Linked DNA regions of Saccharomyces cerevisiae S288C. The gene in region 2 interacts genetically with the main gene of each other region. Each region holds a gene or a part of one and is shown on either strand. Other genes may lie near its edges.

The links.
Region 1: mutations in YLF2 (region 2) and DED1 together harm fitness less than expected from each alone (positive genetic interaction), as found in Saccharomyces cerevisiae (2 studies listed by BioGRID).

Annotation. Positions count from the first base shown.
Region 1 is NC_001147.6:721,300-737,064, reverse strand, and holds DED1 (DEAD-box ATP-dependent RNA helicase DED1), read right to left. Parts: upstream 14,155-15,765; coding exon 12,340-14,154; downstream 1-12,339. Other genes in the region: NPT1 (nicotinate phosphoribosyltransferase), read left to right, coding at 1-628; tyrosine protein phosphatase PTP2, read right to left, coding at 888-3,140; DNA-directed RNA polymerase III core subunit RET1, read left to right, coding at 3,608-7,057; mRNA-binding ribosome synthesis protein NOC2, read right to left, coding at 7,421-9,553; GEP3 (Gep3p), read left to right, coding at 9,831-11,501; imidazoleglycerol-phosphate dehydratase HIS3, read right to left, coding at 14,457-15,119; MRM1 (Mrm1p), read left to right, coding at 15,357-15,765. UniProt on the Saccharomyces cerevisiae protein: ATP-binding RNA helicase involved in translation initiation. Remodels RNA in response to ADP and ATP concentrations by facilitating disruption, but also formation of RNA duplexes.
Region 2 is NC_001140.6:63,758-78,963, reverse strand, and holds YLF2 (Ylf2p), read left to right. Parts: upstream 1-1,649; coding exon 1,650-2,867; downstream 2,868-15,206. Other genes in the region: YHL012W (UTP--glucose-1-phosphate uridylyltransferase), read right to left, coding at 1-28; deubiquitinase OTU2, read left to right, coding at 611-1,534; 40S ribosomal protein uS10 RPS20, read right to left, coding at 3,187-3,552; YHL015W-A (uncharacterized protein), read right to left, coding at 4,182-4,265; DUR3 (Dur3p), read left to right, coding at 4,720-6,927; YHL017W (uncharacterized protein), read right to left, coding at 7,090-8,688; MCO14 (4a-hydroxytetrahydrobiopterin dehydratase), read right to left, coding at 8,894-9,256; APM2 (Apm2p), read left to right, coding at 9,416-11,233; transcriptional regulator OPI1, read left to right, coding at 11,508-12,722; AIM17 (Aim17p), read left to right, coding at 13,105-14,502; and 1 more. UniProt on the Saccharomyces cerevisiae protein: Hydrolyzes ATP, and can also hydrolyze GTP with lower efficiency. Has lower affinity for GTP.

The DNA.
Region 1 (15,765 bases), on a different chromosome or scaffold from region 2:
ATATGGAGTCAAGCCAATCGGTACTGTGGCTCACGAGTGGGTTATGGGAGTCGCTTCTATTAGTGAAGATTATTTGCATGCCAATAAAAATGCAATGGATTGTTGGATCAATACTTTTGGTGCAAAAAATGCTGGTTTAGCATTAACGGATACTTTTGGAACTGATGACTTTTTAAAATCATTCCGTCCACCATATTCTGATGCTTACGTCGGTGTTAGACAAGATTCTGGAGACCCAGTTGAGTATACCAAAAAGATTTCCCACCATTACCATGACGTGTTGAAATTGCCTAAATTCTCGAAGATTATCTGTTATTCCGATTCTTTGAACGTCGAAAAGGCAATAACTTACTCCCATGCAGCTAAAGAGAATGGAATGCTAGCCACATTCGGTATTGGCACAAACTTTACTAATGATTTTCGTAAGAAGTCAGAACCCCAGGTTAAAAGTGAGCCGTTAAACATCGTTATCAAACTATTAGAAGTAAATGGTAATCACGCTATCAAAATTTCTGATAACTTAGGTAAAAATATGGGAGATCCTGCCACTGTGAAGAGAGTGAAAGAGGAATTGGGATATACTGAACGAAGTTGGAGTGGTGATAACGAAGCGCACAGATGGACCTAATTATTCAGTTATGGGTACTGACATCTCTGCGATTTTATAAATATGACATATAGATATGCAGCTGATATCGCAAAAATAAAACATTATATGAAGTTGCGAGTACGTAAAAAAACCCGTGTTTCTTTATGAGGAGATTGTTAATTGTAGATTTATTTTTTTTTATTTTTAATGTATCTATATAATGAAATAAAATGCAACGAGAGGTTATGTAATTTATCAAAACGAAAAGTGTTTGTATAATAGGAGAAAAACAATTCTATTAACAAGGTAACGCGTTCTTTATCTGCTTTTGCAGGGCAAAATAATTTAATAATGCCTCATAACAAGCGATATATTGAGTTAGATTCTGTACCATTGAAATCCTTTGCTTTCTTAATTCATTCACTATGATAAAGATAAGGTCCTGAGTCATATTCCAAACATCAATCTTGTTTGAGTGATTTGTTGTAGGTGAAAGAATACTTAGTAGGAAATCCAAGGTAACGAAAACACCTGTTCTTCCACACCCTGCAGAACAATGGACTAATAGTGGCGATGAATTTGCTGTATCGAGATGTAACTCACTATTATTATCATCTATCAAATCAGGCTTGCAAACATCCTTTTCGAGGCTTGTAATAAAACTTTGCGGGTTAAACAATAACGAATTTTTGACTTTGTGTAGTTTAATGATGTCATTCATATCTACGCCGCATGAATCTAACCAATTCTTGTATTGTAATTGGTAAACAATAAACGGCTCGGATACAGCCATGGTAATGGAAGTAAGGTCACCATTATGCGGAAGGTCACAATCTTGACTGATATTATCATTTTGTGGAGCTGTTTTCTTGACTTGAAAGACTCTGAGAACACAGCCATTAATATTGCAAATATTCTCCCAGGTGTTCTGAAGTTTGATAGTGTGGTTGGAATATGACAGATTATTCCAGTAAATATCCCATTTTCTTAAATTCAATTCATCGTCAGAATTCAATGATATTATTACTTTAACTTTATTTAAAGTAATAACCTTCCAAAAATCATCCATCGTAGAAGGAAGCGGAGCTTGGGTAGCAATATACTTGAAATCAGGATTAATTTGCGTGAGCTTCAAATAGTTCGCATTGATATAGTCGTTCGGTTTGCAGGAGTGGTTTTTTGCATCTACGGGACACATCGGATATGACTTATCTGTTTTAGTTTCGGTTGTGGATGCTTCAGAAACTGCAGGTGGTTTCGGGGAGTGAGGTAACTTTACTCTTGAATGTTCGTAAGGTAAGATATTAGAATATCTATTCTTAGTAAAAGACTGAATTCCTTCAGTAAGTTCGTAATCATTTATTGGTGACATTATAGTATCATCGGAAGATAATGGTGATGGCGAAGAAGATGTGTTGTTTTTTGGTATAATTAATTTTAGCTTTTGATTTTTCTGTATGTTGCTTTTCAAAGAACTTTTATACTGTCGTTGCAAACTAGTTAAAGAATATAATTTTGAATCATCCGTGGATTGCGGACCCCTCTGCTTTTGTGATAGCTGCTTTTGATGTAAAGGCTTTTTCTTGAATTTCAGGCATTTCTCTAATCTTTGCATTTCAAAATTTTCTAAAGTTTCAAAATTGTTAAAGAGTTTCTTTAATATTACCTTTTCATTTTCTTTTACGGAGCAGAATTTTAGCCAATTCGGTAAAATCGTGTCGTTAGGTGCTAAGTCAGCAGGCATATTGAATTGGAAAAACTTTTGCAAAGAATTAGGAGAATAATGAATTAGATCCTTTTTCAGAGACTGTAAAAATATTTTATTTGAATCATTGGGTGGAGGTATGTTTATTCTTAAATTTAAAGTTGACCTTGAAGTTAAGTTTACATTCAAGTTCAAATCCAATTTGGGCAAGATGCAATTTTTCTTATTTTTTCCTAATGAGGGGGCCTTGCTATCATTCAGAGAGCCTTCGAGAAGAAAGAATTTCAAATAAGGAGATGGAAAAAAATGGCAGATGAACTTTTTAAACTTCTCAATGAGGCAAAAAGTTGTCTTTAAACAACTCGAAATTCTGCTAAACGAATCACTGAAAATGAAAATATCATAATCTTTGATGATCTTTGTGAACTCAATATACTTTTCATCAGATCCAAGGTAATTCTTTAGTAAGTTCTCGAACGGGTAGTTCGACCTTTTCACCAAAGTGCTGGGTAGCGGCAACGATAAAACTGTGATATCCTTAGCATTGGTATTGCCTAAAAATGAGTTGGTATTGGGGCCAGCGCACAGATCTAGTAAAAGTATTTTAGAATGCCTATTAGAGTTGTTCCGCCGTATGTTAACGTCGTCCAAATCTTTGCACGGTTTAATTTGATTTTGGGGAAGGTTAGACAGATTTATAGTTTCACCTCTATAGACGGGCATTTGACCAGGTGTTCTAGTTTGATTGACTTGTATGTGGCCCTTTTCCGATATAGCGGAAGAAGCCATTCTATTGCCGTTATTGTCTCTTTTGCCATTACGATATTGCTGTGCTATGCGATCCATCAATAGCAACGTCGATCCTATTTTATTGTAAACTATTAATAGCACTGGGGATCGGACCTAGGCTTCCAAACTAAGCGAAAAGGGCTGTGCAAAGCGGAAGAGGGGAACCAGGGGAATCGGGTCTGTCAGGTTGAGTGATCTCGTCTTTCTTGTCAAAGGTCGCAGCGCGGTGTTCAAAGAAAGATGATGATTCAAAGTTGGCACTTCCCAAAGGTTTTAATAGGTGCATTATTTTTATATATTCCTTATTGTTAGGTGTACTACACATAAAGATATAAATAGTTCCATAAAGCAGGCGCGTATTTTCCAGATCACGTCGGACGAAATTGTAATTGTGAGATGAGCTGAAAATTTTTCGATCTATGCTTAAGTGATGATATATGGACAAGTTAGGAAAGAATTAAAGGGAGTTTAAAGTGTTGATAATTGAGCGTTTTAATCGCTAGGGACTTAGTGCTTGTTGAAAAATGGTTGCTGCGACAAAAAGACGGAAAACTCATATACATAAGCATGTGAAAGACGAGGCTTTTGATGATTTATTGAAACCAGTATATAAAGGTAAGAAACTAACTGATGAAATCAATACTGCTCAGGATAAGTGGCACCTTTTACCAGCATTCTTGAAGGTTAAAGGTTTGGTGAAGCAACATCTTGACTCATTTAACTACTTCGTTGATACAGATTTAAAAAAAATTATAAAGGCAAATCAATTAATTTTGAGTGATGTTGATCCAGAATTCTACCTGAAGTACGTCGATATTAGAGTGGGTAAGAAGTCCTCTTCTTCGACAAAAGATTATTTGACTCCGCCTCATGAGTGTAGGCTTAGAGATATGACATACTCTGCACCAATCTACGTGGATATAGAATACACTAGAGGTAGAAACATTATTATGCATAAAGACGTGGAAATTGGTAGGATGCCGATCATGCTGAGATCTAATAAATGTATCCTATATGATGCTGATGAATCGAAAATGGCTAAATTAAACGAGTGTCCGTTGGATCCTGGTGGTTACTTTATTGTTAACGGTACCGAAAAAGTAATTCTTGTTCAAGAACAATTATCCAAGAATCGTATTATTGTGGAGGCAGATGAGAAGAAAGGCATTGTTCAGGCCTCCGTTACTTCATCTACCCATGAAAGAAAATCTAAGACTTATGTCATTACCAAAAATGGCAAGATCTATTTGAAGCACAATTCCATCGCTGAAGAAATTCCTATTGCTATTGTTCTCAAAGCCTGTGGTATTTTATCAGATTTAGAAATTATGCAATTGGTTTGCGGTAATGATAGTAGCTACCAAGATATTTTTGCAGTCAATTTGGAAGAATCTTCGAAATTAGATATTTACACACAACAGCAAGCTTTAGAGTATATTGGTGCAAAAGTAAAGACAATGAGAAGGCAAAAACTGACTATCCTGCAAGAGGGTATAGAGGCCATTGCTACCACGGTTATTGCACATTTGACTGTGGAAGCCCTTGACTTTAGAGAAAAGGCTTTATATATTGCCATGATGACGCGCAGGGTGGTGATGGCAATGTATAACCCTAAGATGATTGATGATAGAGATTATGTTGGTAATAAACGTCTTGAATTAGCAGGCCAATTGATTTCTTTATTGTTCGAAGATTTGTTCAAAAAGTTTAATAATGATTTTAAACTAAGCATTGATAAGGTCTTGAAAAAACCAAATAGGGCTATGGAATACGATGCATTATTGTCAATTAACGTCCATTCAAATAACATCACCAGCGGACTGAACAGAGCTATCTCAACCGGTAATTGGTCTCTTAAAAGATTTAAGATGGAAAGAGCGGGTGTTACACATGTTCTTTCCAGACTATCTTATATTTCCGCATTGGGTATGATGACAAGAATTTCTTCTCAGTTTGAAAAATCAAGAAAAGTTTCCGGTCCAAGAGCATTACAACCTTCTCAATTTGGTATGCTTTGTACTGCAGATACTCCAGAAGGTGAGGCGTGTGGTCTAGTGAAAAATTTAGCATTAATGACTCATATTACTACAGATGACGAAGAGGAACCTATAAAGAAATTATGTTATGTTCTTGGTGTAGAAGACATAACATTGATTGACAGTGCATCCTTGCATTTAAACTATGGTGTTTATTTGAATGGTACTTTAATTGGTTCAATCAGATTCCCAACAAAATTCGTTACTCAGTTCAGACATCTGAGAAGAACAGGTAAAGTGTCGGAGTTTATCTCAATTTATTCAAATTCTCACCAAATGGCAGTTCATATTGCAACAGATGGTGGTAGAATTTGTAGGCCATTAATCATTGTTTCTGATGGTCAATCTCGCGTGAAAGATATTCATTTACGCAAATTATTAGATGGTGAGTTAGATTTCGATGATTTTTTGAAACTCGGATTGGTGGAATATTTAGATGTCAATGAAGAAAACGATTCTTACATTGCATTGTATGAAAAAGATATAGTTCCCTCGATGACACATTTAGAAATCGAGCCATTCACAATTTTAGGTGCTGTTGCTGGTTTAATTCCATATCCACATCATAACCAATCCCCTCGTAACACATATCAATGTGCGATGGGTAAGCAAGCGATTGGTGCAATCGCCTACAATCAATTCAAGAGAATAGATACATTATTATACTTGATGACTTATCCACAACAGCCAATGGTGAAAACCAAAACAATTGAATTGATCGATTATGATAAATTACCTGCTGGTCAAAATGCTACGGTTGCTGTCATGTCCTATTCTGGTTATGATATTGAAGATGCTTTGGTTTTGAATAAGTCATCCATCGATAGAGGTTTCGGCCGTTGCGAAACACGTAGAAAGACAACCACTGTTTTGAAAAGATATGCGAACCATACCCAAGATATCATCGGTGGTATGAGAGTTGATGAAAATGGAGATCCTATCTGGCAACATCAATCTCTTGGTCCTGATGGTCTAGGTGAGGTGGGTATGAAGGTCCAAAGTGGACAAATTTATATAAATAAGTCAGTTCCAACTAACTCAGCAGACGCCCCAAACCCAAACAACGTAAACGTCCAAACTCAATATAGGGAAGCTCCGGTAATATATAGAGGTCCAGAACCTTCTCACATTGACCAAGTTATGATGTCTGTTTCGGATAACGATCAAGCTTTAATCAAAGTTTTGCTAAGACAAAACAGAAGGCCAGAATTAGGTGACAAATTTTCTTCTAGACATGGTCAAAAAGGTGTTTGTGGTATTATTGTAAAGCAAGAAGACATGCCCTTCAACGATCAAGGTATAGTTCCAGACATTATCATGAACCCTCACGGTTTTCCATCTCGTATGACTGTGGGTAAAATGATCGAACTGATATCGGGTAAAGCTGGTGTATTGAATGGTACATTGGAATATGGTACTTGTTTTGGTGGTTCTAAACTTGAAGATATGTCTAAGATTTTGGTAGACCAAGGTTTCAACTATTCCGGTAAGGATATGTTATATTCAGGTATAACAGGTGAGTGTTTACAGGCTTACATCTTTTTTGGCCCCATTTACTATCAAAAGTTAAAGCATATGGTCTTAGATAAGATGCATGCAAGAGCTCGTGGTCCAAGGGCTGTTTTGACACGTCAACCAACTGAGGGTAGATCTAGAGATGGTGGTCTGAGGTTGGGTGAGATGGAGAGGGATTGTGTAATCGCGTATGGTGCTTCACAATTGCTGTTAGAAAGGTTGATGATTAGTTCAGATGCTTTTGAAGTTGATGTCTGCGATAAATGTGGATTAATGGGCTATAGTGGTTGGTGTACTACCTGCAAAAGTGCTGAGAATATTATTAAGATGACTATTCCATATGCAGCAAAACTGTTATTCCAGGAATTATTATCCATGAACATAGCCCCAAGATTAAGATTGGAAGATATCTTCCAGCAGTAAGAAATCATATATCTTGTACTAAATTTTGCGTTATGTTAGCAATCATATCTATTTCGTGAGGAACTTTAAGAGAGTTGAACGATTTCGAAAATTATATAACAGTAAACCGTACTTCTTTCATTTTTGTACCTTGCTTTACATCATTACTTTTTATAAGATCCATCGAACGTTTGACGTGTTTTCTATCCATAAACCGGCCAAAATATAAAAATATCCAGCTGACAAGAGAAAGCTTGGAGTGCTCACATGTTAGCACATGTGAGCACAATGATATATACGCTTTAAAAAAGACTTTTCTTTATTTTACACATTTATAGACTTAACTATTGAATTCAAGACAAAAAATCAAATCTTGCTGAGTTGTTAAGCGTCTGACATTTCAACATCTTCGTTGTCATCATCACTTTCCAGACTGTTTAATAATTTTGCTTCTTCTGTTTCTCTTTCTTTGTCTTGTTCTTCCATACTTTCTCTCATTAATCTGGCCTTTTCTTCCTTAACTTCACGTTGTACTGCAACATAAGAACCTAAAGGTGTTTTATTCCAAGCTACATCATTCAAAAATCTTGAAACTTCAGATTTGTTTGTTGGCCCAAATTCAACATCTGATCTCTTTTCTTGGATGAATGTGCTGTTTTGGTTCAATTTTTCTACAACAGTTGATAAACGTTTGTTAAGTTTGACATTAGTTGAAGTCTTGATGTAACGGCGTAAAGAGATAATAACCGGTGTTACAAGTTCAGGAAATGCAATGTTTTTACAGTACAGAGCAAAATAATCGCCCAATAAGTCCACAAACTGTTCTGACAAACCCTCTTGGTATATTTTTGTATTCAGATAAGCTTGCGTACATTTGATGTTGTGCTCAAAATCGAAAGCAGCCAAGTTAGGGCTCTTTTTGGGTGCCTTAGTGAAAGCCGTTGAGGTTAAAATTTCAGAAAGTAAAGGATATATTGGAATAAAAACACCACTATTTTGAGAAAGTCTAATAAGTGATTTAATCAAATAAAATCTTAATGGGAAGAATTGTGGTGTTGGGATTAATCTGATTACACCCAAAGTAACCTGAACCAATGGGTAAATTAATTGTCGTAAAGGAGATTCACTGCCATTTTCCTTTTCTGGTTGACAAGCAAACGATAGTACACGAGACCAGAAATCCAAGGAGTGACAGAATTGCCAGTTGTATACAATCTTGTAAGCTTCTGCGGAATTAATTTTACTGGATTTTTTAGTTGTCGCGTTCATTGTATTTCTTAAATGAATTGCCAATTGCCTAATATACTCAAATCCAACTTGGTAACCTAGAACTTCATCGATACCGAACAATTCAGCTGCCGAATTTTTTTGAAAATTAATCAGTGGCATAGAACGCATATTCGTTTTACGACAACTTTTGATAAAAGTGGAGTACGTTGTTTTTAAGGTTGTTTCTAGCATAGACTTCTTGAACTCTTTGGTGGTATTGATCAAAAAGGCAAAAGAAGCAATCTGGGTTTCTAATTCTCTCGTTGTAGACCATACTCCAACAATTGATTTAATAAGCTCCTTTAAGATCCTTCTGTATGATAAAAGATAAGGCATCAATTCGTTGACAGAATGAAGAACTAATGCTGCTGTTTCCGTATTAGTAATATCATTCAATAAAATCAACAAAGAGCCAGCATGCGACTTGACAATGGACGAGACCCTGGAGACGTTACCTCCATTTGGTAAGGTCCTTGCGCCTTTTACAATCTTGTATGGGGCCATCTTTTGAATCGCTTGTGGTACATCTTTCAAGACCATGAACATCAATTCGTGGAATGCTTTCTCATCAGTGATAGCATATTTATAGTCTTCGATGTTTTCTTCCTTGTTCAAATTTACAGCAACCTTGAAAGCACTGATTATGTTCCTTAGTAATTTTAAGCTTGGAGAATCATGAAGTTGTTTTTTCCATTTCCTAACCAATTTCAAAGAAAGCTCAATTTTTTCCTTTTCCAGCTCCATTTGTTCAGATTTTTCTTCAATATTACTGTTTCTTTCAGCATCTTCACCTTCATCTTGACTATCAATTCCATCCAATGGATTGGTACCTGCGAAGTCCAATAAATCTTTATCATTTTCCTCCAAATACTTATAAAATTCGGGATCCTTTTCGGCCAACTTTGCCATGCTTTGTCCCATGTCTTCCTCCTCTTCGGAAGAGGAGGAATCTTCATCAGATTGCTCTTTCGTAGTTTTTTTCTTCAATTTTTTATTCTCTTTTGGAATTTCGATGCCCTTTTCAAAAAAAGTTTCGACAGACATGTCCTTAAAAACCTCTTCCTTTGCAGATTTTTTCAACTGCTGTTGTTCCCTAGTACCAGCAGCATCGGCCTTTTCCTGATCAGTTTTGTTGCCACGACGGCCTTGGATTCTCTTCTTTTGGATCTTTTCCTTTCTTCTTTGGTCTAGAGTATGCTTCAAATGCTTCGATTGAAACTTCTTGGTCGATTTAGAAACTTTACCCATCTCCACTTATTCTATTGTTGACCTTCTCTATCTCTCTTACAATTCAAAAATTAGTATAAATGAATTTACCCATGTACAAGTATTCTGTTTCTCTATTTTCTCTGTAAATATCATGCTCATCTCATCGGAAGAAAAAATTCAGAAAATTTTTCAAAACTCGTCGAAGATGATAACTACTATTTGATGTTATGGGTCAAGATACATTTAACAGAGCAATATTAACGAAGGACCTTCCTAGTAACACGTCTAATTACTTTGAACAATTCAATATGCGGGAATGTTGAATCTGTGTCATGCTCTTCGAGGCGTACGTCAGTTTTCCTGTTCTGTGATTGTGAAAGTGAAATGTGCGTCATGTTCCATAAAACTACAGGATCAGGATCCTAGTAAACCAGGATATTATACGAAGCCAAAAAGTCTACCCGACTCAAAACTAAATCCTGACCTCCAAGATCTGAAGTATTTGCTATTCAGTCAAGACATACAGCTCTCGAAACAGGCAACTCAAAATGATCCTGACCTCAAAACCAAAAGAGATTTACTATTGAGAGTGATTTGCAAAAGGTGCAGTAATGCCCTTCATCATAACAATTATAACCCGGAAGAGTTTCCCGAAAGCACATTAAATGATATTCTGAACTACGTCCCCAGAGGCTCAAATGTTATGCATATTGTCCCCTTTGTAGAATTTCCCTTACATTTAGACCCCAATGTTTTGAAACGAAATGATTTAGATACTACATTAGTGTTAACGAAAAGCGATCAAGTTTTTAAAGATAAAAATGCTGTCAGCAAAAAGGTTCCTATATTCATGAAGCAATTTTTAAAGAACACTTTAAGAATTGACTCAAATAAAACATTCGCCATATCTGCGCTGAAAAACTGGAACATATCCATGTTTTACAACTACTTTAAAAACTACACATATTTGCTAGGCAACCCTAATGTTGGTAAATCAACTTTGATCAATACTCTACTACAGAAATATCTTGGATATAAGGTTAAAATTGATTCTACTGGGAAAATTAACTCCCCCTCTGAAGAAGTGATGCAAGAAGCTTTTACGAACCCGAAGAATTTTTTCAAGATTCAAGCTGCTGGTGTATCACATATTCCCAATTTAACTAGATCCGTACAAGCCTACCAAGTTGGAGGTAAAATACTTTTTGATCTTCCAGGCTATTCAACTTCCACCTCCAGATTACGCCTAGAAGAACTAATCGACGAGCGTTGGCTTCAAAGGCTGCGAAAAACCGATTTATTCAATCGGAAGCATATAAAACAGAAGACTTATGAGTCTATGAAGGGCACATCACAGGGAGGCTGTTATACCGTGGGAGGGATTTTCTACCTGGTACCTCCGAAAGGATCCATAAATCAGATTGTGAAATACATACCAGGACCATCAAAAACATTCAAGAACATTGAAAAAGGTATTGATGTATTCAACTCGTGCAATTCATCATCTGGCACACATCCGTTATCACGGTATTGTGGAATTAAAAGCGTTATATGCGAAAAAAGCCAGTACAAAAGGTACGCAATACCTCCATTTATTGGAAGTATAGAGATCGTTCTGAAAGATATAGGATATATTTTATTAAGGACAACTGGGAGGTATGAGTTCAAAGGACTACATGAGATATGGATACCTAGGGGTATCCAAGTAGGTATAAGGGAACCGCTAGAAAACTTGATTGAGTCTGGCTACCAGCGTTACATTGAAACAAATGGTAAAGAGTCAAGCTGTCCCAGAGATAGACCGATCATCAGTTCCCTGTATGAGATGGCCCCGGATGAAGCTGATACTTTGAACGCAGTGAAGAAGTCGTATTTAGAAAAAACCGAGAAAGATTTATCTGCTAGAAGATTTGTCGACGATGATCCTTATGATTTGGTTCAACACCTAGAAAAAAAAAAGAATCCCTATTGGTACTACCAATGGTAAGACTCGCTGTTCACTTGGTTGCACCAATAAGTAGTAACGCACATGTAAATATGAATGTAAGTAAACTAAAAAGAAAGTTGGGAACAAAGTATATTCAAAAACGAATATACAGGAAATAAGCAATAGAAAGTATTATGAATTATACTGTTGATGTTTATTCTATCTACAAAACACAAATAAAGTAGAGTATAAGGCGAGTCAATAAAAAGGCCTCAACTCAAAAAAGGGAGAGAAAATGTAGGAAGGAAATGAATACTATTATACAATGGTACTGTGAACAGTAAGAATATTTTCGTAAGGTAAAAAGAAACAATAACAAACAAAAAAGGTCGAAAAAACTGTTCAAAATAAAGTCTCTATTCGAAGAAAACTGAAAAAGTGGAAGTGGAAATAAAAGATAATGTAAATAATCAGTCCAATGAATAGATCGGTTAAAGCAATTAAGCAAAAATAGTGGAAAATATAGTAAAAGTAGATAATAATTCCTTCATCTTTTCACTAAAAGATGAAAATCTTAATTGCTTATAATCATAGTGAAATCTTTAGTTTTTTAGTTAATATTAGCAAAGGCATTTTATAGTACAATTGTAAAATAATATTAGAACCATGAAAGAAAAAAAAAACAAAAAAACGATGGATAAAAAATAAGAGTGGAAAAAAAGTAACAGATTAGTGGCTCCCAGTGAGAAAATAAAAAAAATATGGGGCCAATCAACGGCTAGAGAGAAACAAACAACACAGTATTTTCAGGACTTGGATAAAAAAAGTGATTGGAGAAAGAAAATATAAGACATGCTAGAGCAGAAAACGAAGAATCCTCACCCTAGTTTGTCTGAAATCACCACCAAGAAGAGTTGTTTGAACCACCGCTGTTACCCCAGCCAGAAGACTTGGAATCGCTACCCCAGCCACTACCGCCTCTGAAAGAGTTATCTCTGCTTCTTGAAGAGCCCCAGCCGCCTGCGCTAGCGCCTCCGGCCTTACGGTAATCTCTGTTGTTGTTGCGACCGAAACCGCCTCTACGGCTGTTGCTTCTGCTACCTGGAGCACTCATCATAGCGTCCTTCAAGAATGATGGGACTTCTTGGTTAGCTTCAGTCAAAATTTCATGCAAACCTTTAACAATGTTACTGTTTTCACTGTTGAAAAAGGCAGTGGCAAGACCGGTGTTACCGGCACGACCAGTTCTACCAATTCTATGGACGTAATCATCGACATCACTTGGTAAATCGTAGTTGATAACGTGGGTGACGTTTGGAATATCTAGACCTCTAGCTGCGACAGCTGTGGCAACCAATAAAGTAGCGGCACCAGATCTGAAGGCGGCCAAGGCACGTTCTCTCTCAGATTGGGTACGGTCACCATGAATGGCGGTAGCTCTAAAGTTTTGCATGATCAGGAAATCGGTCAATTGATCTGCCATTCTCTTAGTTTCGACAAAGATCAAAGTCAAACCGTCAGTGGATGCAGACAATAGATCCAATAAGGCTGACTTCTTATCTTGATTTTCAACGTATAAGACTTTTTGAGTAATGTTTTCTGAAGTAGAACCGACTCTACCAACAGACAAAAAGATGTAGTCACTTAAGAAATCACGGGCCAAATGTTGGATATCAGCGGGAAAAGTAGCTGAGAACATCAGAGTTTGTCTTTCACCAACAGGAGTCATATCACAGTCTTCGACAATATGTCTAATTTGAGGTTCGAAACCCATATCCAACATTCTATCAGCTTCATCTAGAACCAAATACTTGACGTTGGCCAAAGAAATTTTACCACGTTCCAACAAGTCATTCAAACGACCTGGAGTAGCGACTAAAAGATCGCAACCACGTTCAATTTCTCTTAGTTGGTTACCAATTGGAGAACCACCGTAGACGACGCAGGCCTTGACCCAGGATCTATAAGTAAATTTCTTGGCTTCATCGAAAATTTGGGTGGCCAACTCTCTAGTTGGAGCCATAATGACAGCAGTTGGGTAGGCCTTTCTTTGGTAAAAGGAGCCTTGAGACTCTGGTTGAGGAGATGGTCCAGTCTTAAATGATTCGGACAACACTGGGAATAAAAACCCACCAGTCTTACCAGAACCGGTCTGCGCACAGGCCATCAAATCTCTGCCGTTGGCAACGATAGGGACGGAGTATTTTTGCACAGGTGTTGGCTTGGTGAAACGGGCCAATTTGATGTTTTCCAATAACAATCCGTCCAATGGAGGTGAGGTAAATTCTGTGATTGGTTCAGGAACATCCTTACCAGAGGCGTCCACTGGAATATCATCGTAGTTATCGAAGTTAATACCAGAAGATTGGAAATTTGGATCCTCGGGGACACCAAATATGGCGATCTCGGCCTTTTCGTTTCTTGGAGCTGGGACATGTTTGCCATCGATCCATCTACCACCAGAACGGCCGTTAGATCTGCTGCCACCGTTGTTTCCACCGAAGAAACCACCGTTGCCGTAACCACCACGACGGTTGTTGCTAAAGAAGCTGCCACCGCCACGGCCACCGTTGTAGCCGCCGTTGTTGTTATTGTAGTTGCTACTGTTATTTCTGGCACTTCTTGGTTTTCCTCTTAAGTGAGGAGGAACATAACCATTCTCGTTGTTGTCGTTGATGCTTAAATTTTGCACTTGTTCGCTCAGTTCAGCCATAATATGAAATGCTTTTCTTGTTGTTCTTACGGAATACCACTTGCCACCTATCACCACAACTAACTTTTTCCCGTTCCTCCATCTCTTTTATATTTTTTTTCTCGAGTTCAAGAGAAAAAAAAAGAAAAAGCAAAAAGAAAAAAGGAAAGCGCGCCTCGTTCAGAATGACACGTATAGAATGATGCATTACCTTGTCATCTTCAGTATCATACTGTTCGTATACATACTTACTGACATTCATAGGTATACATATATACACATGTATATATATCGTATGCTGCAGCTTTAAATAATCGGTGTCACTACATAAGAACACCTTTGGTGGAGGGAACATCGTTGGTACCATTGGGCGAGGTGGCTTCTCTTATGGCAACCGCAAGAGCCTTGAACGCACTCTCACTACGGTGATGATCATTCTTGCCTCGCAGACAATCAACGTGGAGGGTAATTCTGCTAGCCTCTGCAAAGCTTTCAAGAAAATGCGGGATCATCTCGCAAGAGAGATCTCCTACTTTCTCCCTTTGCAAACCAAGTTCGACAACTGCGTACGGCCTGTTCGAAAGATCTACCACCGCTCTGGAAAGTGCCTCATCCAAAGGCGCAAATCCTGATCCAAACCTTTTTACTCCACGCACGGCCCCTAGGGCCTCTTTAAAAGCTTGACCGAGAGCAATCCCGCAGTCTTCAGTGGTGTGATGGTCGTCTATGTGTAAGTCACCAATGCACTCAACGATTAGCGACCAGCCGGAATGCTTGGCCAGAGCATGTATCATATGGTCCAGAAACCCTATACCTGTGTGGACGTTAATCACTTGCGATTGTGTGGCCTGTTCTGCTACTGCTTCTGCCTCTTTTTCTGGGAAGATCGAGTGCTCTATCGCTAGGGGACCACCCTTTAAAGAGATCGCAATCTGAATCTTGGTTTCATTTGTAATACGCTTTACTAGGGCTTTCTGCTCTGTCATCTTTGCCTTCGTTTATCTTGCCTGCTCATTTTTTAGTATATTCTTCGAAGAAATCACATTACTTTATATAATGTATAATTCATTATGTGATAATGCCAATCGCTAAGAAAAAAAAAGAGTCATCCGCTAGGTGGAAAAAAAAAAATGAAAATCATTACCGAGGCATAAAAAAATATAGAGTGTACTAGAGGAGGCCAAGAGTAATAGAAAAAGAAAATTGCGGGAAAGGACTGTGTTATGACTTCCCTGACTAATGCCGTGTTCAAACGATACCTGGCAGTGACTCCTAGCGCTCACCAAGCTCTTAAAACGAGAATTAAGAAAAAGTCGTCATCTTTCGATAAGTTTTTCCCACAGCAAAGCAATAGTAGAAAAAAACAATGGGAAACGTTGAATGAAGACAAAGCGTCGTGGTTTAAAAGGAAATACGCTCACGTACATGCTAGGGAACAGGACCGTGCAGCGGATCCATATGGCAAGAAAAAGGCCCACGTCGAGAAGCTAAAGGAGATCAAGAATCAGGCGAAATTAAACCAAAAGAGCCATAAATCCAAGTTCCAGAATAAGGACATTGCTCTGAAACTTATGAATGATAATCCTATCTTCGAATATGTCTACGGCACCAACAGCGTTTATGCAGCGTTGC
Region 2 (15,206 bases):
TTTTATTTACTCCAGAGAAAACCGTCATTGATCTTGTATATACTATGTAGAACAGTGAAATATTTTTCCTTTTTTTTTTTATTATCAAGAATCACTTGTGTCAGTTATCGTTAAATTCCAGGTTACAAAAAGATTGTAAATGCCAGGGAAAATACAATTCAAAAAAGTTACAGTATAGTTATATTTAATTACTTAAATTTACTTTTTTTACTATAAGGTGCTATTCCTGCATTCTTTTTTTAATTAATCAGGACTTATAAGCTGATAGTACTTTCATTCTTTTTTTTTTGTGTGATAAGGCCATTGAACATTATGGAAGACTAACTACTTTTTCTTCAAGAAAATTGTGTGCTTCTACTCTCGTTCAATACAGGAAATTTTAATTCCAACAGAGTGGAAATTTATGGTTTTCTTACCACAATAAATTTCTCAATTGTTAAAATCTGAAAAGTTGGCAGCCCTGGCCCTGTCAAAGAAAGTATTATTATGCGTCGCGAAATTTCTTTTTCTTCACGCCTTGTTTTTAGTTTGGGCATCTCGAAAGCATCTAATACAAAATCCAACTAAAGCACAGCATTCAATCTAGTAGAGAGAACAAGAGATATTCATCATGACCGGCATGGAATCAGGAGAGAATTTGGAAAACATGGAAGATATTTTGGCGAGACATCGCAAGGAAAATAAAGATTTACAGAATAAGATAACGGGTATGAAAAAGCAGGCTACTAAATCCAAAAGGAAAGAAGTTAATTCGAAATGCCTAGATCTTCAAGATAAACTAAAGACTAAGCAAGAAAATGAAATAAGGGATTGGAAAATTGCAAATAATGAAGTGTTTGACGCAGAACAAGAAGATGAAGTGACTCCTGAAAAACTTTTAGAACAACTATCCATATCTCGAGATGAGAAAGAACAACAGAATGTTCCCGTTCAACAACAGCAACAAGGCCAGACAAAGAAGCGTCGCAATAGACAAAAGGAAAGATTGGCCAAAAGAGATGCAGCAATTGCTAAAATGAAAGAAGAGGCTGCTTTAGAAGCATCCAAACAACCGGACTTGAAAAAAATGGAGCAGGAGTCTATAGATCAGTTATGCGAGTTGAAGAAACTGAAACAATTCGATATACAACCCGATGGCCACTGTCTCTTTGCATCTATATTAGATCAGTTAAAATTACGCCATGATCCAAAAAAACTGGATCAAGACATGGATGTCATGAAGCTGAGATGGTTGAGTTGTAATTACGTACAGGAGCACAGGGATGATTTCATTCCATATTTGTTTGATGAAGAAACTATGAAGATGAAAGACATTGATGAGTATACGAAAGAGATGGAGCATACAGCTCAATGGGGTGGTGAAATTGAGATTTTGGCTCTCTCTCACGTTTTCGACTGCCCCATTAGCATTCTGATGAGTGGAAGACCTATTCAAGTGTACAATGAATGTGGGAAAAATCCTGAATTGAAGCTAGTTTACTATAAACACAGCTATGCATTAGGTGAGCATTATAATTCATTGCATGATTCTTGATTTTTCCCATCCGTATCTAATGAGATATGCTTATTTGTAAACCTTAATGCATCTATTTAATTGTATAGTTTGAAGCATATGGATATAAAAGAATAAAGAGAAGTAATAATCGGATATGAACATTGGTGGAGGAAAATTTTTACTTGGGAGGATATCGAATAATCCAACTTCAGGGATAGTAGGGCTTGCTAATGTTGGTAAATCGACTTTTTTCCAAGCAATAACAAACTCAAAATTGGGAAATCCTGCAAATTATCCATTCGCTACCATTGACGCAGAATGTGCCAAAGTCAATATACCTAGCGTGCCGCTCTCTAATTTATTGAGAATATATCAGAGTGCGAAATGCGTACCTGGAACACTCACAATATATGATATTGCTGGGCTCACCAGAGGCGCATCTCAAGGCCATGGTTTGGGTAACAAGTTCTTAAACGATATCAGACACGTAGAGGGGATATTTCAAGTGGTGAGAGGATTCTTAAAGGAAGACATCACCCATATAGAAGGTAATGTTGATCCTGTCAGAGATCTATCCGTGGTACAAGATGAACTCATCTTGAAAGACTTAGAATTTCTGGAAAACATTAGGGAAAGACTTAGTAAGAAGATGAGAATGGTTTCGAAGAATTCTAAAGAACATCAGGAAATGAAGATAGAGACAGAATTATTAGATGCATTAGAGGAACATTTGTTTAACGGTAAAAAAATCCGGCATTTCAAAGATCATTGGAACCTGGATGAAGTCAAAATTTTGAATAAGCATAACTTTTTAACCTCCAAACCAACTTTGATATTGCTAAATGTTTCACCTCAAGATTACGTTAGGAATGAAAATAAATTTGTCAGAAATATTATAGAATGGATTAACGAATTTTCGCCAGGAGATAAATTCCTACTTTTCAGTGCAGAATTTGAATCGCAATTGATGGAATGTAAAGGCATAGCGTCAGAGTATTTTGACAAGATCAAGGAAGATACCAATGTTTCTGATCAACAGTTAGTTTCTGCGATACCGCAAATAATACTAGAAATGAGAAAGTTGTTGAACTTAATTAGCTTCTTTACATGCGGCCCACAAGAAGTTCACCAATGGAATATAAGGGAGGGAACCACCGCTCAAGAGGCCGCGGGTGTAATCCATAGCGACTTGCGTGAAACATTTATCAGCGCTGATGTAATAAAATATGACGATCTGAAGAAGATGGAACCACCGCTAAATGAGTCTTTACTAAAATCTAAGGGACTTATCAAACGTGCAGGCAAACAATATATTATGCAGGACAATGACATTGCCTTATTCAAAGCCGCCGGTGGGAAAATTAAGAAATAGTTTGTCATAAAAAATACTTGTAAATATGAATAGAAACGCTTGCTTTGTTTTGTCTTTTCCAATAATTACACAAGAATCAACAAAAGTATGAGATATATATATATATATATATATATATATTATATTTGCATAAGGTTTAACCACTGATAGTAAGACAGAGGTATATCGAGGAACTGTGTTTACCTAGAGTGGGCTGATTCTAATAGTGCAGCTATATGCGAAAATGAGAAAAAAGGAACCGCTGAATTCAATAATATATTTTGGTTAATGGACGAGAAAAAGAGGAATCTAATGGAAATTATTTCCAGTTAGAACCAGCTTAGTTGGAAGCAACAACAACTTCGACATCCACACCAGGTTCAATGGTGATTTGAGTGATTCTCTTAACGATTTGAACAGGAGCTTCCAAGTCGATGTATCTCTTGTGGATTCTCATTTCGTAGGTTTCCCAAGTCTTAGAACCTTCACCATTTGGAGTCTTTCTGGTGGAGATCTTCAAAACCTTGGTTGGTAGTCTGACTGGACCCTTCTTGACCAAGTTGTGTTGTTCAGCGTTCTTGACAATGTTGGAAGAGACGTTTTCCAATTGCTTAACCTTGGTGGAGGTCAAAGTGATTCTAATCTTGATGATTTGTTGTTGTTGTTGTTCTTGTTCTTCAACCTTTTCCTTTTGAAAGTCAGACATTTTGTATATACCTTTTTGTTTATTTTACTTGCTTTCTTGTAGGAGTTTCAATCTAAAGCTGAGCTTGAATGAAATAACCCATCTTTACTATTATTTTGAATTCAATACGGTCTATTACTCAATCTCTGAGGCTAGTCGCGAATGCGTCGAAGTTTTTTTTTCAAAATTAAAACATTATCGTTACCCGAACTTTATCTTCATAAAAATAGTTGTGGCATTTTTTCTCTTATGTTTACGGATGTAGAAAATGTACAGGTGTGAACTTGCAGGTAAACATTTTTACATTTTTACTTTTATCTTTTCCCCTTCTATAGAGATAAAAATAAGAAGTTTCAGGGAAATCTCTCTTTCCATAGTAAATAGTGTTAGCAGCAGACAAGACAAGAAGGATATCAATGACGATACGCATTTTTCCGAATGATCTGGTCAGATAATTCTTTTTTTCCCTTTATCGGGAGGTTTTGATGAGAAAACGATGTCAATAGTATTCTAGTCACAATAGGGAGCTAGACGGCTATTCAATCAGAATGCGACTATCCGGAGTTATCCTCAATGATAGACGTTTCTCCAGTTAGGAGCGCCAAGAATGTGTGAACAAAATGCACAAGGTGCAGATTTGGCGCTCTTTATCAGCGCTTCATACGGTAGATATGAACTTTAATTTTGAGATTAGCCAAGACCAAAGGTTCTCTTAAAGATGCAAAAGCAGTCATACAGGTATTTGTTTTATGCAGCAAGGCTGACTCAAACTAGGCATTCCAATTCTGTTTATCTATTGGTGCCGCACCTTTTTTCCGATGATGAAATGAGGCGGCGCACATTTGGGTGTTATCTTATCGGGATATTTTATGATAGCAAATGCGACAGACAATAATGCTCGAGAGTGGACAGGCCAATAGTCAGTTGCAGCATAGAAACAAGCAGGCGTACCTATGGGAAAGGTGTAACTCATCATTGCGCTTTCTACGGTACGGTTATCCTTAGATAACAGGCAAGATGTGCTCTATTCATCGGTGTTGCATGAAGATACGTCTTGTTCGCCAAGTATATAAAATGAAGCAGTAGTATAGCCGTAGCTTTACTATTGTTAGCAGTTTCCCTTGTCTAGATTCTTAAATTGGGTTCATCCAAGAAAAAGTAATAACATAAATTTGTCATTGTTATAGTATGGGAGAATTTAAACCTCCGCTACCTCAAGGCGCTGGGTACGCTATTGTATTGGGCCTAGGGGCCGTATTTGCAGGAATGATGGTTTTGACCACTTATTTACTGAAACGTTATCAAAAGGAAATCATCACAGCAGAAGAATTCACCACCGCCGGTAGATCTGTAAAAACCGGCTTAGTGGCTGCAGCCGTGGTTTCTAGTTGGATCTGGTGTTCTACATTGTTAACGTCGTCAACAAAGGAATATGCAGACGGTATATTTGGCGGTTATGCGTACGCTGCTGGCGCATGCTTCCAAATTATTGCATTCGCAATTTTGGCAATTAAAACCAAGCAAATGGCTCCCAATGCGCACACATATTTAGAATTAGTGAGAACAAGATATGGTAAGATCGGCCATGGTTGCTACTTGTTTTATGCCATCGCGACGAATATTTTAGTCACTTCAATGCTTTTAACTTCAGGTTCTGCTGTCTTTAGTGATTTAACCGGGATGAACACTATCGCATCATGTTTTTTACTGCCTGTGGGTGTTGTTGTTTATACTCTATTTGGTGGGATTAAAGCAACTTTCTTAACGGACTATATGCACACATGTGTCATTATCATCATTGTCCTCGTATTTGCCTTTAAAGTTTATGCGACTAGTGATGTTTTAGGCTCACCGGGAAAAGTTTATGACTTAGTTCGTGAAGCCGCCAAGAGGCATCCAGTAGACGGTAACTATCAGGGTGAATATATGACCATGACATCCAAATCCGCTGGTATTTTATTAATTATTAACCTGATTGGAAATTTCGGCACCGTTTTCCTTGATAATGGTTATTGGAATAAAGCGATTTCTGCTAGTCCCGCAGCGAGTTTGAAAGCATATGCCATCGGTGGGTTAGCATGGTTTGCAGTACCTTCTTTGATTTCATTGACCATGGGATTAGCATGTCTTGCGGTGGAAACGTCTCCGAACTTCCCCACCTATCCTGATCCACTTACTTCGTTCCAGGCAAATTCTGGGTTAGTCTTGCCGGCAGCTGCAATTGCTATCATGGGTAAGGGGGGTGCTGTGGCATCGCTGCTAATGATTTTCATGGCCGTCACATCTGCTATGTCTGCTGAACTAATTGCCGTTTCATCTGTTTTCACTTACGATATCTATAGAGAATATATTGATCCTCGTGCAAGCGGTAAGAAATTGATTTACACATCACACGTTGCTTGTATCTTTTTTGGTCTTGCCATGAGTGGATTTTCGGTTGGTTTATACTATGGTGGTATTTCTATGGGTTATATCTATGAAATGATGGGTATAATTATTAGTAGTGCAGTATTACCTGTCGTTTTGACCTTATGTTCCAAAGACATGAATTTGGTGGCCGCTGTAGTGTCGCCTATTTTGGGCACAGGACTGGCTATAATGTCATGGCTTGTCTGTACCAAATCCCTTTATAAAGAATTGACCGTGGATACTACGTTCATGGATTATCCAATGTTAACAGGTAACTTGGTGGCTTTGCTATCACCAGCCATTTTTATTCCTATTTTAACGTATGTGTTTAAGCCACAAAATTTTGACTGGGAGAAAATGAAAGATATTACTAGAGTTGACGAAACTGCAGAGTTAGTTCAGGCTGACCCTGATATCCAGCTTTACGATGCTGAAGCTAACGATAAGGAACAAGAAGAAGAAACAAATTCTCTGGTCTCAGATAGTGAAAAAAACGATGTTAGAGTAAATAATGAAAAATTGATTGAGCCTAACCTTGGTGTTGTAATAAGTAATGCCATTTTTCAAGAAGATGACACACAGTTACAAAATGAATTAGACGAAGAACAAAGAGAACTAGCACGTGGTTTAAAAATTGCATACTTCCTATGTGTTTTTTTCGCTTTGGCATTTTTGGTAGTTTGGCCCATGCCCATGTATGGTTCCAAATATATCTTCAGTAAAAAATTCTTTACCGGTTGGGTTGTTGTGATGATCATCTGGCTTTTTTTCAGTGCGTTTGCCGTTTGTATTTATCCACTCTGGGAAGGTAGGCATGGTATATATACCACTTTGCGAGGCCTTTACTGGGATCTATCTGGTCAAACTTATAAATTAAGGGAATGGCAAAATTCGAACCCACAAGATCTGCATGTAGTAACAAGCCAAATTAGTGCGAGAGCACATAGACAATCATCACATTTCGGACAAGTTGATGAAATAATTTAGCTTTCAAAATATAATATTCTATCCACTCATCAACCTCATTAATAATTTTTAAATAGCTCTAATTATAAAATAGTCTTTCATTATAGGTACATAAAAGAAAAGAAAGTCAAGGGGAAAAAAAAAAAAAAAAGGAAATTTCTAAATTTATGTTATTTGGTCCGTTTATGTAGTACTTCTATCATTTTTTGCATCTCTGTCGTAATCTACGTCGAACAATACGTCATTATTTGCGTTCGTATTTGCATTTACACTTGGCACTTCTTCAAAATCGGATGCTAAATCAATATCCATATTGTGATCGTGTTCCTGGTAGTCATTACGTGGCTCTCTATTAGGCAATGCCTCATCAGACAAGGAATTTATGTCATCTAAATCGAATTCTGATACATTTTCCATGTCAGTTGGTAATTGATGCGAGCACGCTAGTAAATATGATGTACTTGTAGGTCTCCAGAAGAATGCGAAAATGACGAAGACCAAGAAGTAAACGAAACTAGGCCAAGTATCTGTGATGAGGAATTCTGTTTTCCAATATTGTTCTATCATGTCAACAGTGTCCATACCGACGTATGCAAAAGTAGAGACTAGTAAGCCTAAGAAGAGTATAAACAACGAAATATAACACAATATGATCAGTTTTCTGTACATGTTTAATTTCACCACTTGGTTTTGTTCCCTCAAATAAGTCATTGTTTTGTTCATTGAAGACAGTGTCAAATAATAGAAAGCGAATAGACATAATACTAAGGGGATAGCAGTAATCAAAATCAAATTGGATAAAGACTCAGAATTCTGGGAATATTTTTGGACCAGGAATGCAACGCACACTGCAAACGTAAATATCGCAAATATTTGACATCTTCTTAGCAATGTACGGTCCAGTTTTGGATATACTATACCATATCCAAGAGATATCAGCAAGGCGAGGAGAAGCGTGAAAGTCATCTTACCGGCGCTAAAGATCGATATGAAAACCATATAGACATGAAGAGCGACGCTGGAGTTTCCCTTCTGGTTCTCAATAATATAGTACATCCAGACGAAAATAGTATCAGCTGTTAGGAAAATACAAAATACCAAAATGTACCTTTGTAAAGGCAGTAACTCATGTCTATGCTTCCAGCATAGCCAAGAGTACACTAATGTACAGACGGCATAAGCGACGGCCAAAAAGGCATAAATAGGCATCTTGTACGCCTCTGAAGCGTCCAATTGACCGTAAGCGTTCCTAAAATTCACTGTAGCCTTAAACTTGGAACTGGAAGAAATGAAAGATGACGTGGTCACACAATAGTAACCAGTTTTGTTAATTGAGTATACCTTGTCGTTAGTGCCCAATTCTTGTTGAGTGAAAGTCAAAATCTGACTCGTTAGCTTATGTTCCTTACTGGTGAACGGATCGATGGCTGTCTCTTGAATGATAAATTGCCCCTCCGACGAATCCTCACAGAGGCCCAAATCCAATGCGTAGTCATCGCAAATATACTGAATTTCTCCATTTGGTAACCGCACACCAATATGCTCATAATCTTGGAAATCAAACACAGCAACACTAACCCCCTCGCCATCATCGTCTTCATCAGCAAGTGACAATTCCTCCAACGTAAACGATATATAGGGGTCAACTTTTCCATTGAAATCCTCCTTGGAATACATCCCTGAACAGACATCGTGATATTTTTGATTTATGCTTTCTTGGTTCCCTTGAACTACCCCACAGAGTAGCAACAGCCACGTCAGTAATAGCCACGTTCTATCCATTTTTCTGTTCGCTAGTTATTGTGTCTAGTTTGCCCAAAAATGATTTACACAATACAGTTGAAATTTCAATACCTTTTTTTTCAATTTTCAGTTTTTCCATGTTGCAATGCGAGAATGGGTATGGGTAGCAAAAATTTCTAGTAGTAAAATCGATAGGAAAAAAAAAATGGAAAGAGCAATAGCCTTTTAGACCTGCCCTGCCTTATCAAGTTGTCATCTCATCGATGTAGGAATCTATTCTCTTGGCCATCCGGACGTCTATATCGCTAAGCTGGCTGTGAGCCCCGTCTTTCGGGTCTATGTCATGCGTATGAAGTTCCAGCTTGACCCAGGTGTAACTTGTGTGAATCAGGGGATGGTGGCCCCATAGATGAGATCTCATCGATACACGAGTCAAAAAGGCCCATGTGGTTTCGTAGTCCTTGAATGTTACCTCTCTTGTTATTCCCAAACATTTGGTCTTATTAGGGTCCCATTGAACTTCCCAACGGGTCAAGGGTTTTAGCTTCTCGAGTAGTTTGCCCCCTGTGAGTGCACTGGACGCGATTCTAACAATCTTGTTGTGCATTGTATTCTTACTTTGGTTTCTTTCTGCTTTTGGTAGGTTGTGTTTACTGTTTTATAACTGGAAGGGCTTAAATTCCAGATTGGAAAATTGAGAATGCCTTGGACAAAAAGCAAATAAAGGGACCCAAAAATAGTAAAGAGGAAATCAGGAAGGAAAGGCATGTCGTCAAGCCTTTTTATCCTGGATGAAAATCTGGAGCCATTGGTATCGAAGAATATTAGAGCACTACCGAATCTATCGTCGGTTCTTTCAAGTTTCAAACAATGTTATCATGACGGGTCGCCTCCAATTCTCTCCCAAAACGATTGGTTCTTTATACATTTGAAGAGAGACTTTCTGCATTTCGTTTCAGTGATACATACCACAGACAAACCAAATATAGACTTAATGACTATACTAGCCTTTTTGGAACAATTTTATCATCTTTTACAAAAATATTTTGAAATCGAGGTCTTAACTAAGAATGTCATACTGGACAACATCTTACTTGTCCTGGAGTTGATTGATGAATGTATAGACTTTGGTATCGTACAAGTGACGGATCCAAGTATCATCAAGGACTACATTCGTGTGAAGGTCAACGTACCAAGAGTTACAGTAGACAATGAGGAGTGGAGCCCTGGTGAAGAGAGCAGTAGTAGTAGCGGTAGCGATAGCGATAGCGAGTACAGCAATACTAATAAGAGGAAGGATAAGAAGAAGAAAAGGAAGAAGAAAAAGGGCACTAAAGGGAAAAGCGTGGGCAAAAGTAAATTAAAAAGTATAATGGTAAACAATAAAGAAAATAGGGGCATAAACGTGGTGGAAACTGTCAAGGAGACACTAAGGAACAAGAATGATACCGGTAAAGAAGCCGCTAATGACGAGCTCCCCAATGACGGTAATGATTTATACATCAATGGCGATATTGCGAAGACGATTATAATGCCCATATCATGGAGAACAAAGGGGATACATTACGCCAAAAACGAGTTCTTTCTTGATGTTATTGAACGTGTTCAGTACTTGATGGATTTTGAAAAAGGAGTGATTAGGAAAAATCTGATACATGGAGAGATTGTGTGCAGATGCTATTTATCAGGGATGCCCAAACTGAAAATATCCATAAACAAGATACTGAACAGGGACCCCCAGTTCATGTCGAATTCCAGCTTTCATCAGTGTGTTTCACTAGATTCCATAAACACTATTGAAAAAGATGAAGAAAAGAATAGTGACGATGATGCTGGTTTGCAGGCCGCCACAGATGCAAGAGAAATCGAATTTATACCGCCGGATGGCGAATTTGTTCTTTGCCAATACGAGTTGAAGAGACATGTAAAGGATGCGCCGATGGTGAGGTTGAAAGATTTTGAAATCAAACCTAAACTGAAGAAGTTTAAAATCCAAATTGTAACCAAAATTCAAACAAATTTTAAACCCACCAACTCAACGTCGAAGCTAAACGTGAGAATTCCCCTGACAAAAGTCTTCCAGGAATATAAAATAGACCTCAGCAAGCAAATTAGATTCAAGGCAAACATCGGCAAGGTCGTGTTTAACTTGAGTGACGATTTTCTCCTCTGGGAGATACAAACCATGAAGGGGCACCGAGAACATAGCACAAACAAGAGCTCACAGTACAACAGCGACGAAGATGATCCAAATACGTGTGCATCCATGGTGGCAGAGTTCCCCCTCTTCAACCAGGAAGAATATGACCGCCTGCAAGAAGAAATGAAAACCTCAATGAATCCGCCGCCCTTGCGCACGGGACCCAGGCTGGAAGAACTATATAGACAAGTGCACGACCAACAAACTTCCCACGTTACTCCTCGAGATAAGTTGGTCAACATTGATTTCGAGATTCCGTACTGTACATGCAGTGGCCTGAAAGTTGAGTACTTGAAGGTCGAAGAGCCACAATTGCAGTACCAGTCTTTCCCCTGGGTCAGATACAAGACCGTCAGCGACGAAGAGTACGCATATATTGTTTGACGCTTACGCAGACATCTCATAGATAGACAAATGGTACGTTCGTTTTAGTATATAGATGGCACCTTATAATCTTCATATGCAACCGGGTAAAATCGGGCGTTCTTATTTTTTTTTTTTCCACCTCAATGAGAGGGATTAATAAGAGGATTGGAGCAAGACAGCGATCTGCACTTAGCCAAGAAAGCATATCAGGCCAGAACGTGGCATTTTGTTTACAGTGCTGATTAAAGCGTGTGTATCAGGACAGTGTTTTTAACGAAGATACTAGTCATTGATGTCTGAAAATCAACGTTTAGGATTATCAGAGGAAGAGGTAGAAGCGGCTGAAGTACTTGGGGTGTTGAAACAATCATGCAGACAGAAGTCGCAGCCTTCAGAGGACGTCTCACAAGCTGACAAAATGCCGGCAAGTGAGTCGTCTACGACGCCGCTAAACATTTTGGATCGCGTAAGTAACAAAATTATCAGTAACGTAGTGACATTCTACGATGAAATAAACACCAACAAGAGGCCACTGAAATCAATAGGGAGGCTGCTAGACGATGACGATGACGAGCATGATGATTACGACTACAACGACGATGAGTTCTTCACCAACAAGAGACAGAAGCTGTCGCGGGCGATTGCCAAGGGGAAGGACAACTTGAAAGAGTACAAGCTGAACATGTCCATCGAGTCTAAGAAGAGGCTTGTAACGTGCTTGCATCTTTTAAAGCTGGCCAATAAGCAGCTTTCCGATAAAATCTCGTGTTTACAGGACCTTGTTGAAAAGGAGCAGGTGCATCCTTTGCACAAGCAAGATGGAAATGCTAGGACGACCACTGGAGCTGGCGAGGACGAGACATCGTCAGACGAAGACGACGACGATGAGGAGTTTTTTGATGCCTCAGAGCAGGTCAACGCCAGCGAGCAGTCTATTGTGGTGAAAATGGAGGTGGTCGGCACAGTCAAGAAAGTCTACTCGCTGATATCGAAGTTCACAGCAAATTCGCTGCCGGAGCCCGCAAGATCTCAGGTTCGGGAAAGTCTTCTAAACTTACCCACAAATTGGTTCGACAGCGTCCACAGTACATCACTGCCGCATCATGCTTCGTTTCATTATGCCAACTGTGAAGAACAAAAAGTGGAGCAACAGCAACAGCAACAGCAACAGCAGCAGCAGCAGCAACTTTTGCAGCAGCAACTCCTGCAACAGCAACAGCAAAAAAGGAACAAGGATGGCGACGACTCAGCCTCGCCGTCCTCCTCCGTAACTGCGAATGGGAAAGTACTCATTCTCGCCAAAGAATCCCTGGAAATGGTGAGAAATGTCATGGGCGTAGTCGACTCCACGTTGGGCAAGGCTGAAGAATGGGTGAAGCAGAAACAGGAGGTAAAAGAAATGATCAGGGAGCGTTTCTTGCAACAGCAGCAACAGTACAGGCAGCAACAGCAGAAGGATGGCAATTACGTAAAGCCCTCTCAGGACAACGTGGATAGCAAGGACTAACCGAGACAGATTGAGGTCTTTCATGCATTACCACCAGTAATAATATTATACGGAATAATATAGTTTATATAATATCCATAATCATAATCATAATCATAATCATAATCATAATCGTGATATTGTACCAGCCCCGCTTCTCCCCTTTTGAACTACCATTATTATCGGACCCTCTTTACCTTTGAATGGCTCAGTAAGGACCTTTGCGCAGCCGTAAGGGGGTCGGGAATACATTTCCGGGGTTGATCCTCGAGGAAAAGTGCTATCTATATAAGGAGAAGCCCTTCTAGATCCAAATATCAGGGGTAACTCTTCACAACTGGCCAGGAACATATTCCAAGTTAAAAAGAAAAAATAATTATTAGAAACCAATTACCAACACAAGATGCTAAGATCAAATTTATGCAGAGGATCTCGAATCCTTGCAAGACTGACCACTACACCAAGGACATACACATCTGCGGCGACAGCTGCGGCTGCGAATCGGGGACATATCATCAAAACATACTTCAATAGAGATTCTACGACAATTACGTTCTCCATGGAGGAGTCCAGCAAGCCGGTTTCCGTTTGCTTTAACAACGTTTTTCTTAGAGATGCCTCCCATAGTGCCAAGCTGGTGACCACGGGAGAACTGTATCATAACGAGAAATTGACCGCTCCTCAGGACATTCAAATTTCTGAGGACGGAAAATCTCTAGTGGTGAAATGGAAAGATGGCGGTCATCACCAGTTCCCTTTACAATTCTTTATCGACTATAAAGGTTCCAGTTTTGTTTCGCCAGCAACAAGAAAACAAGAATCCAGATATAGACCCCAGTTATGGAATAAGCGCATCCTGAAAGATAACGTCAAGGACTTACTTTCTGTGAGCTACAACGAGTTTATTGATCCTAAGGATGACTCCAAGCTTTTCCAAACGCTGGTCAACCTACAAAAGTTTGGTATCGCTTTCATTTCCGGTACTCCTTCATCCTCCTCTGAAGGCCTTACCATACAAAAGATCTGTGAAAGGATCGGACCCATAAGATCGACTGTACATGGTGAAGGTACATTTGACGTGAATGCATCCCAAGCGACAAGTGTTAATGCCCATTATGCCAATAAAGACTTGCCGCTACATACGGATTTACCATTTTTAGAAAATGTGCCAGGTTTCCAGATTCTACAATCTCTACCTGCTACAGAAGGGGAAGATCCCAATACTAGACCCATGAATTACTTCGTGGACGCATTTTATGCTACCCGTAATGTTAGAGAATCGGATTTTGAGGCTTATGAGGCTTTACAAATTGTTCCTGTAAATTATATATATGAAAACGGCGATAAGAGGTACTACCAATCCAAACCTTTAATCGAACATCACGACATTAACGAGGACAATACTCTTCTGGGTAATTATGAGGCCTTGATTAAATGCATTAACTACTCTCCACCATACCAAGCACCTTTCACTTTCGGAATTTATGATAAGCCCTCAGATCTAAATAATAATCTGGACTTGAATTTAATTACCACCCCAGCAAAACTAACAGAGAGATTTTTGTTTAAGTCTTTCATTAGGGGGTTGAACTTGTTCGAGAGTCATATCAATGACTTCAACAATCAATTTAGATTGCAGTTGCCCGAAAACTGTTGTGTTATCTTTAACAACAGGAGAATTTTGCATGCTAACTCTTTAACAAGCTCAAACCAGCAATGGTTAAAGGGTTGCTATTTCGATTCTGATACTTTCAAGAGTAAATTAAAGTTCTTGGAAGAGAAGTTTCCTCATGACAAATAACTTCATTTTTTCAGCATAGTTATGTGATTCTTTATATTTATTTATTTTCTCTCTGTGTAGTGACAATTTTTTTTTTAATGTTTCATGTTAAATATATTTATTTTAAGAAGCCGTCAGTTTCCTTTTGTTTCATTGAAATCAATAACTAAAATTAAAATTATAAAAGGAATAACGTAAAAGAAAGTCTACTACCCAAGGAAAATCTACTTTATTTAGTGATTATATCCAACTAAATATCATTCAAATAACCTCACATATTTGTCTTCACCCTTAAGATTTTACGATTTACTAAGTTCACCTTCTCATGGCTTTGGAGGGATTGCGGAAAAAATATAAAACAAGGCAGGAATTGGTCAAAGCACTCACTCCTAAAAGACGGTCCATTCACTTGAACTCCAATGGTCACTCCAACGGAACTCCCTGTTCAAACGCAGATGTTTTGGCTCATATTAAGCATTTCCTGTCATTGGCGGCTAATTCATTAGAGCAACATCAACAGCCTATTTCAATCGTCTTTCAAAACAAAAAAAAAAAAGGCGATACAAGCAGTCCTGACATTCACACAACATTGGACTTCCCTTTGAATGGCCCGCATCTATGCACTCATCAGTTCAAGTTGAAAAGATGCGCAATCCTTTTAAACTTATTGAAAGTCGTTATGGAAAAATTACCGCTAGGTAAAAACACTACAGTGAGAGATATCT